Linked DNA regions of Bombyx mori. The protein of the gene in region 1 binds, or shares a complex with, the protein of each later gene. Links are inferred from orthologs where the notes say so. Each region holds a gene or a part of one and is shown on either strand. Other genes may lie near its edges. The genes, in order: DNA replication licensing factor Mcm3 and DNA replication complex GINS protein PSF1.

Region 1 (4,516 bases):
AATCCAGAAATGAAACCATTCTACAGAAACCGGACTGAATTATCTGTTGAGAATAAGATACTTGTGAGGCAAGGACGCATCGTTATACCTACAGCACTCCGAAAAGCCATTCTTACATACCTTCATCGAGGACATCCTGGCATTTCTGCTATGAAAGCACTTTCACGTTACTATGTTTGGTGGCCTAACCTTGACGAAGACATAGAATTATTTGTCAAGAAATGTACCAGATGCCAACAGAACCGCCCTTGTAATCCTGAACTTCCTGTATTTTCCTGGTCCATACCAGAAGAAGTATGGGAGAGAATCCATATCGACTTTGCTGGACCGTTCGAAGGATCGTATTGGTTGGTATTGTGCGACGCTCTCTCCAAATGGGTGGAAATACGACCGATGAAACACATCAACACCAGATCACTTTGTCTTACATTAGATAACATATTTTGTACATTTGGCTTACCAAAAATGATTATATCCGATAATGGACCTCAATTTACATCTTATGAATTTAAAGAATATTGCACAAAACAATCTATTTTACATGTCACATCATCTCCATATCATCCTCGGACAAATGGGCTGGCACAACGTTTAGTCAGAACATTCAAAAATAGAATGGCATCGGTAGACAACACAAATCTCGAGCGCCGACTATTAGAATTTTTGTTTACATACAGAAACACTCCGCACTCGTCCACTGGTAAATCTCCAGCTGAGATGATGTTTGGACGACAATTGAACTGCATACTTTCCAACATTCGGCCAGACAAAAGAAGATTAATGCAGTATTTACAAGTAAAAGAAAACATTCGTACCACATCACCGAGTTACCGACCAAGTGACCAAGTATATATTAAAACACGCAATGATAAAATATGGGAACCAGCGGTAATTACATCCCGAAAACATAAATATTCATATATTGTTTCAACACCAGGAGGACTAGAAAAACGAAGACACGCTGATCACATCAGGCCACGCGAGTCCTCCACCTCAGAAACCCCGAGGAATGAAAGGGCGCATTCTTCTATGCTGCCGGCGACTGCTTCTCCAGACATTGGAATGGAAACAACAATTAACGAAAGGCTAACTAAAAACAAGAATTCAGCAGCAGTACCATTACCTACACCGCAGTCACCTACAAATGTACAAATTTCTCCAAATTCACCTTCACAGCATTCGAAGTTATACTCCTCACCTGCTCCGGTCTCCACTCCTGTGCCATTTGCTGCGCGTCGAAGTAATCGACGTATACAGGCACCCCGCCGTCTGATCAACGAGATGTAGATGGGGAGGAATGTTGTAACCTTCTTTTCCATATTCCATTATTTGAAATATACTTCGAACACATTGTCATTTTTACCATCTATCATTATTATATTTTTATGCTATGTCTTGAAAACATTGTTTTATTATATCGACTTTTATACCTTTTCGATACTTGGAATTTTATATCGATCGATATATATTGAAGTATTAAATAAAGCTCAAAAATAACTATAATTTAAAAAATTTATATCGATATATCGATGTATCGATATTTTTTCAACAAGCCTAGTTCGCATTGGCTATTTGCGAGAAATCGCGCCAACTGCTGAAATTTTTTAGATTTAACTTTTTGTGATAGTTATAATTTAGATAAGATTTTATTTGTGTAATTGTTAAAGTTTTCTATTAAAGTTTGAAATAAACCATAATATTCTAACGCTATTCATAGCAGTGATCGTGAGAAATATTGGACTCTACAACTCTCATCTCAATCAAAATAAATTCAACAATACGCAACGACTTTTTGATTTTGGTTAACTTTAAGTGTTAAAACAACTGAAACAAAATATAACAATTTTTAAAGCTAAGTTCAATATGGAGGAAGGTGATTTCGATCAACGTTTGAGAGACTTACAAAGGGAGTACCTCGAATTTCTTGACGATGGTGTGAGTTAATTATTTTTTGATATTAGGTATTGAAGTAAATGAAAGCTTTAAATTTTTTTCTGGTTACAATAAGTTTTAATATCTGAAATAAAATAATGAAGTATTTCAACCTCCTGTCCCATTAAAAATGGAGGCACTCATCTTTATAGATATGATTTTAAATAATCATAAGTGAAGTGCTTTGAAATTATAGAAGAAACTGATTTATTCTATTTTTTTCCGTTTCTTGTTTTATATTTTTTGTGGATTTCAATATTGCTAAGTTATCATAATCAATTTACGACACGTTGACAGCTTCTCTGTAATTTGTTAATATATAAATTAATTTTAAATGTCCAGGAAGATCAAGAAATTTATATGGAAAAAGTGAAACAGATGATAGAAGATAAATCAAAGCGCCTCTTAGTCAGCATCAATGACTTAAGGCGTAAAAGTCCTGAACGTGCCAAGAATTTACTAGAGAATGCCTTTGAAGAACAGATAGCATTCCAAAAGGCTTTAAAAGAATATGTGTCTTCGATAGACCCTACATATGCTAAAATTCAAGAGGAGTTTTTTGTGGCATTCTCAGGAAGTTTTGGTAACAAACATGTTACACCCCGAAGTTTGACATCTAGGTGGGTTATTACTTATAAACATGCTTATTAAAGTTCTACTGCTGAATTATGTCATTTTAATTTTAAGATGTGCTATAATTAACGAGCTTGTAAGGTTAAAACTAAGTTTGTTTTATGATATGTGATGGGTTCACCTAAAATTTATTTTTGTTTGTTTTCTGTGTGCAAAATTAATCTGTTTGAATATATATAAAAGTACTAGATTCAATGAAAAAAATATTTCATAATTATATAGTTTTAAGATTCAGTGCATACTATACATGTGGAGATGGAACAAGAAATTTACTGCTGAATACTACTGAAAATTTACAATCTTCCATAAATATTTGAGCTGTAAGCGTTTTTTTTATGATCATATACAAAAACAGAGGTCTAAAGTAGCTGAATAAGCTCAAACGTACAAAATGAGTCTAGATTTATTTACAAAAAATTGCATAAAAGAAAGATTCAGGATAAGTTACAATGTATTGTGCTTTAGATATTAGTCAGATTAGAATTGATTGAGAATATTATTTGTTTTTCTCACACTTATCTAATTGTTGTAATATTTCCAGGTACCTCGGAAATCTAATCTGTGTGGAAGGCATAGTGACTAGAGTATCATTGGTTCGTCCTAAGGTGGTCAGAAGTGTACATTATTGTCCAGTTACCAAAAAAGTGATGGAAAGGAAATATACCGATCTAACTTCATTTGAAGCATTTCCCACCTCTGCTGTATACCCTACTAAGGTCCATAGTTTAGTCATTAATTAAAATTAGAATAGAATAACAAGAAATTGTTAGTGAAATATAAAGATCTCATTAGACTACCTTCTAAAAAAACCTTCTACTCTGTGCTGAAGTAGTAGACTACTTCAGCACAATGTGGTATTTTCTCTGTATTTTGCCAGTTGTCGTAGACAGCTACTACACATTTGTTATTTATTTTGCTACTTCGACTACTTATTTTCACGACACATTATGATCAGAATCTGTGAACTAAACTTATTTTAAATGTTTTCAAAATAGGTAAAGATAAGCATAATTTTAACTGATTCTTTTGCTATATTGGATGACATAATAAGTTACTAATTTTAAAGTTATCTTACGATTTATAGATACATTAGCACTTCTATAATTGTAGTCAAAAAAATTTAACTTTTTATATCTTAAATGGGTGGACAAACTCACAGCCCACCTGGATTTAACCTGGAGCCCATAGACATCAACAAAATATCATCACCTACCTTGAGCCATGAGCTCTAAATCTCAGTTTAATAGTAGAATAGCTGTGTGGTCCGGTCCACCTTTCAAACTGTGTCATAGTAAAAATAGACAGGTTGGTGATATTTTGCCATTTGTGTCTGAAGTTTATGAGTAACATTTATAGTGTAACTCGTATGTTCATAGGATGATGAAGGCAATCCTCTAGAAACTGAATATGGACTTTCGCGGTACAAAGATCATCAGACCCTTACCGTTCAAGAGATGCCCGAACGGGCACCAGCTGGGCAACTGCCAAGAAGTGTAGATATTATATGTGATGATGATCTAGTAGACAAATGTAAACCAGGAGACCGGGTGCAGATTGTAGGGAACTATAGATGCCTGCCCAATAAGCAGGGAAGCTTTACTGCTGGAACATTCAGGTATGAAGAGAAGTTACCTTTTGATATACATTTTTTTTATTGCCTTTGTAGGCAGACGAGCATACGGCCCACCTGATGGTGAGTGGTTACCGTCGCCCATGGACTTCAGCAATGCCAGGGGCAGAGCCAAGCCGCTACCTTCCGCTATGAAATATACATTTGAAAAGGATCATTATAAGAATTTAATTAGGTTTTGTTTCTTTTGAATTGTCATCAATATGTGTCTGGTGCTGTACATTTTAAAGGACCACTCCAGTATATAGTGCTCAAAGTCCTTTACACACAAAGGTACCGACAGTGTGGGTATTCAAGAAAGTATTTGTTCTTCTTTTAATA
Region 2 (4,242 bases), on another chromosome or scaffold:
GAACCCTCTCATCGTGGCCGCCAGTAACTACATTCCCGATCCTGCGGACAGAATGGAAAGCAGTCGACGTCGCCCAAAACACGTCATCTCGGATCGTCCCGATCCACTAACGGTGCTTTTAGGTACTTCAAGCACCGGTCACCGTTCTCGTCGAACCCGTCGAAGGGCTCGACGAGTAAATTAACTCCCAGACACAGCCCACTGAGTTTCTCGCCGTATCTTCTCAGTGGGTCGCGTTTCCGATCCGGTGGTAGATTCTGCGAAGCACGGCTCTTGCTAGGGTTCGTGTTAGCAACGTCATCAGGTTTGAGCCCTCAAGGCTACCATCATAGGTAGGAAAAAAAAAAAAAAAAAACTGCGCTGTATCTTTTTTGAGAAAATAGTTTTTTTCAATGCCAGCTCATTAACAGGGCACGTAAATATCAAAAACGCAAATGCTGCCACACACCTAAACAAAAGTTCTAAGTCTGAAGTCTGATATTAGGAGACCTCGGGGCTGATGATGATATTGATTGTTGCATCATTTGATTTGACTACAGCAAGCATTATATTCTTTAGGCCACTATGACTGCTCTTTCACCCATCAGGGATAGTAAAAAAAATGGACACACACTTGCTTTATTAGGAGGTGCAAATCTAATCAAGTCAAATCACTAAGCTTATGGTAAAAATAATCTTCTCATAAAATTTATTTCCATACAGACATCAAACATTATTTTTCACAATATTATTTAAAACATAAAATGGTCAAAAATTCACTATTGATAAAATAAATTCACATTATTTGTTTCAGAATACCCTGTCGTATTAAAGTCTGACATTCCGAAGTAGGAAGATAATGTCTGCTATTCTTCTTAAGCATAACCACATCACCATCTTCAAGTTCTAATTTACCATAATCCACAACACAAAGCACTTCGATGAACAATGATTTAGGGGGCTTTAAATTTTCAGTCAAGTCTATGCCACTGTATCCTATATCTTGGCCTAAAGATCTCATATACAAAGCAAGATTTCCAGAGTATTTTGAAAACCATTGATATTCATCATCAGAAAGCAATTCTCTGATATCTGGAGGTAGTACTGCACCAAATTCCCAACGTAATGTCTTAATTTTTTTCATTCTGTTGTAGAGATAGGCTAATATACACCTTTTATTGCGTTCAAGGGCAGAATGTCTTACTTGAACTGTGGTCCACAATGATCTGTTTTCTGTTGTAGCATTACTAAAAATAGTAATTCAATTAATACAAGCGGTAATCATAAAACAGTTTGTTGTTATCTTCTTCTTCTATAAATGAACTTGATGAGCAATTGAACTACATATTTTTGAAATTTAAATTAAAATGGACTAATAGCAGGTAACCTTATTACAACACCACATGAGACTCAAGTGCATGAAAATATTAACCCCTTTGCACTAAATGACGTTTTCGTTTGTGCGGACCAGCAACTCAGACCGATTTTGGCCAAATTAGAGAAACATTTTAAAAGTACTTTAAGATCAACAAACAAACACACATTTCTCTATTTTTTTTATATACCAAAAACAATAATTAGTACTATTATTAAAAAACAACTACACTGTAAAAAAACTCAATAAGCTGAGCTAAGATTTGGTTAGAAATTGAAGCCAAGCCTGTCCACTAAAGTATTTTTAAGCAGATACATAACCGTAGTGCTGTAACAAATCTGCTGGGTGAGATATCTGTGCTACTCAAGCACAACCAGTAAAGCTATCAAATCTGCTGGGCAAGTTATCCAAACTGCTTGAATGTGAAGAGTTATAAAACAAAAAAGTCATAAAACTTTTTTTTGCATAATTGGGTGAGAGATCTCAGGGCTACCTCAAATCCCATGAAGCTAGCATAACCCCTCGAGGTTAGTAGCAATAGATTGACAAAAAAAAACAAAAATAGACCTTCCTGGAGTTACAAGGTTACCTGAGCACTTTTGCATCACATGAAACAGAATAGGAGGTTACAGAATAGAAGTGATCATAGCAAATCTTGCATATTGAACAATAACTACTTGCAGTTATATTAGTAGAAAACCAGTGACTTACGCATCATTCATGTTCAATTTAAATAATAAATGCATTTCTTCTATTATTTGGCGTATTTTTTCATCCTGTAACATGTGAAATACTATGTACTTTATAAGATTAAAAGACACAAAAATAATAATAGGCGGTGCTATAACAATAATTTAATATACTTGTCACTTCTAAATGGATTTCTGACTTTATAGTGCATATGCATAGACAAACAGAATAGATGACAACCGGATAAAATCTTGGTTTCGGTATTAAATAGTAACTTAAAGCTTTCATTAGATATAACAAGTTTATTCTAATTCCAATCCCATACCTAGATGGGCACATCCAACTTACATTATATTGATCTATTGTGTCAGGATTTCTATCTACTTCTTTAATTAGTTCTATAACTTTTTCTGCGAACATTGTGTGTTACTTATTTACTTAACAATGAGAGAGATAACAAACAAAATACTTTAATAATTTAGATAAAAACATTTTTGGCATTGGCGCGAAAGTTGTTATTAATTTGATGAGTGACAGCTCAAGACTGTGACAGATAGTAAATTTGACATTTTATGATCGGATACGCATCATTTTTGGATGAGTTCGAAAATCACAGAAGCCTTGATCTTTAAATCTATAATACCAAAACCTAATCTTAAGATATTAAAATTTTCTAGAAGTGGGAGCTAAGTCATACAAGTAACTTTTTACAGATAATCACTTAGTAGCAATACAGCCAATAATAATCTCACTCTCCTTATCGGGTCGACCATCAGATCCAATTACTCTTGCAAAGACGCTTTCAACTTTAACATTAGGAGCAGACTTAGGGACCCTGATAACCGTACTCGTCGAACTCAACAAAGTGTTCGACGTGCAAACTAACCTCCCGGTGCCACCTCTGGGACATGATGATTTCATCATTCCCGCTGAATTGCGCCTCCTTATCAAGCGGATAAAGAGGCGCAAGGCATTGTGTGAGGACGGTATTCTCACCCTTGCATTTTTCCACTTTCTAGAATCAGTCGTGTCTTTTAAGACACGGCTGTTTAATTACATTCTGTCTACAGGATATTTCCCGGGAATTTAGAAGGACAGAAGACAGCCCTCCAATTATCGTCCGATTACCCTGTTGTCGTATGTGGGCAAGTTGTTCGAGCGGCTGCTGGTGAGAAGAGTGTCTCCGCACATCCTTCTCAGACCCGAGCAATTCTGGATACGTAGCAGTCACTCAACAACGCTGCAATTGGTCTGCGTTATGCACCTTTTGACGGTCCAACGCACGCCAGTACATGGCGGCAGTATTTCTCGATTTCGAGAAGGCCTTCAACCGTGTCTGGCGTGCGGGGCTTATCTGCAAGTTGGTGCAGAACACGGACTTCCAGCACGCCTACGTGCGACTACTGGGGTCGTACCTGGAGGGCAGAACTCTTTTTGTCGCGGTCAAGAGCGCTAAATCGTGGATGCGCCCAGCCACAGCTGGGGTTCCCCAAGGAGGTATCCTGTCACCGATCCTCTACGCTCTCTACACCAACGACATTCCCAATGTCGTTACGTTGTGTTAACACACAGAAATAATAAGCAGTAACATATCTATGACGGCGTTAACGTTACTTCTGTTATACAGCACGTGCAATAGGAGTGAGTCATACACAAGCCAGGTGCGCCGGCCGTGTCACTCCACTCGTAAAACAGCACGTGCAACAGGAGTGACTCATAGATAAGCCAGGTGCCCCGGCCGACTGCGTTTGCTCGGTGCACTTACTATATCCTTGTTACATTGTGTGATTAAGTGACTGTTTTACGTACTGGTTAAGGTTGGATAAATGTTAAAGTGAATTAAGTTATCATATTGTTGATTAAATCAGGAATCAAAAAGTGACTTCGTTTTACTGGGTGTTCAACAAGATAATATCCCCCGCCCTAACCCCCCCCCCCCCTCCCCCTCCCACATAATACGCAATGGAATTGTTCAATGAGTAACGTATGTTCGTCTGCTTTTTGTGGCCACAATACCAAACAATTACAACTTCTAGTTTTGTTGATCCGAAGAGTCGATAATTGTAAAATGAAAGAATAAACACCAAATGGAAATTTTAAGTTCTTTCTATTGGGTCCACAGCTGTCTATAAAGTTTACTTATGGACGAGAGTTTTACGTGATAACGTCGTAAAGACTCCGTATGCTTTACCACCTGA

The links.
Region 2: DNA replication licensing factor Mcm3 (region 1) and DNA replication complex GINS protein PSF1 share a complex: the UniProt entries of both Homo sapiens proteins name them as parts of the CMG helicase complex. The link is inferred for Bombyx mori from reciprocal best matches to the Homo sapiens genes MCM3 and GINS1.

Annotation. Positions count from the first base shown.
Region 1 is NC_085112.1:2,202,908-2,207,423, forward strand, and holds the start of DNA replication licensing factor Mcm3, read left to right. Parts: upstream 1-1,541; 5' UTR 1,542-1,863; coding exon 1,864-1,935; intron 1,936-2,274; coding exon 2,275-2,552; intron 2,553-3,106; coding exon 3,107-3,281; intron 3,282-3,941; coding exon 3,942-4,180; intron 4,181-4,516. UniProt on the Homo sapiens protein: Acts as a component of the MCM2-7 complex (MCM complex) which is the replicative helicase essential for 'once per cell cycle' DNA replication initiation and elongation in eukaryotic cells.
Region 2 is NC_085118.1:17,160,896-17,165,137, forward strand, and holds DNA replication complex GINS protein PSF1, read right to left. Parts: upstream 2,595-4,242; 5' UTR 2,465-2,594; coding exon 2,393-2,464; intron 2,131-2,392; coding exon 2,066-2,130; intron 1,227-2,065; coding exon 776-1,226; 3' UTR 660-775; downstream 1-659. UniProt on the Homo sapiens protein: Required for correct functioning of the GINS complex, a complex that plays an essential role in the initiation of DNA replication, and progression of DNA replication forks.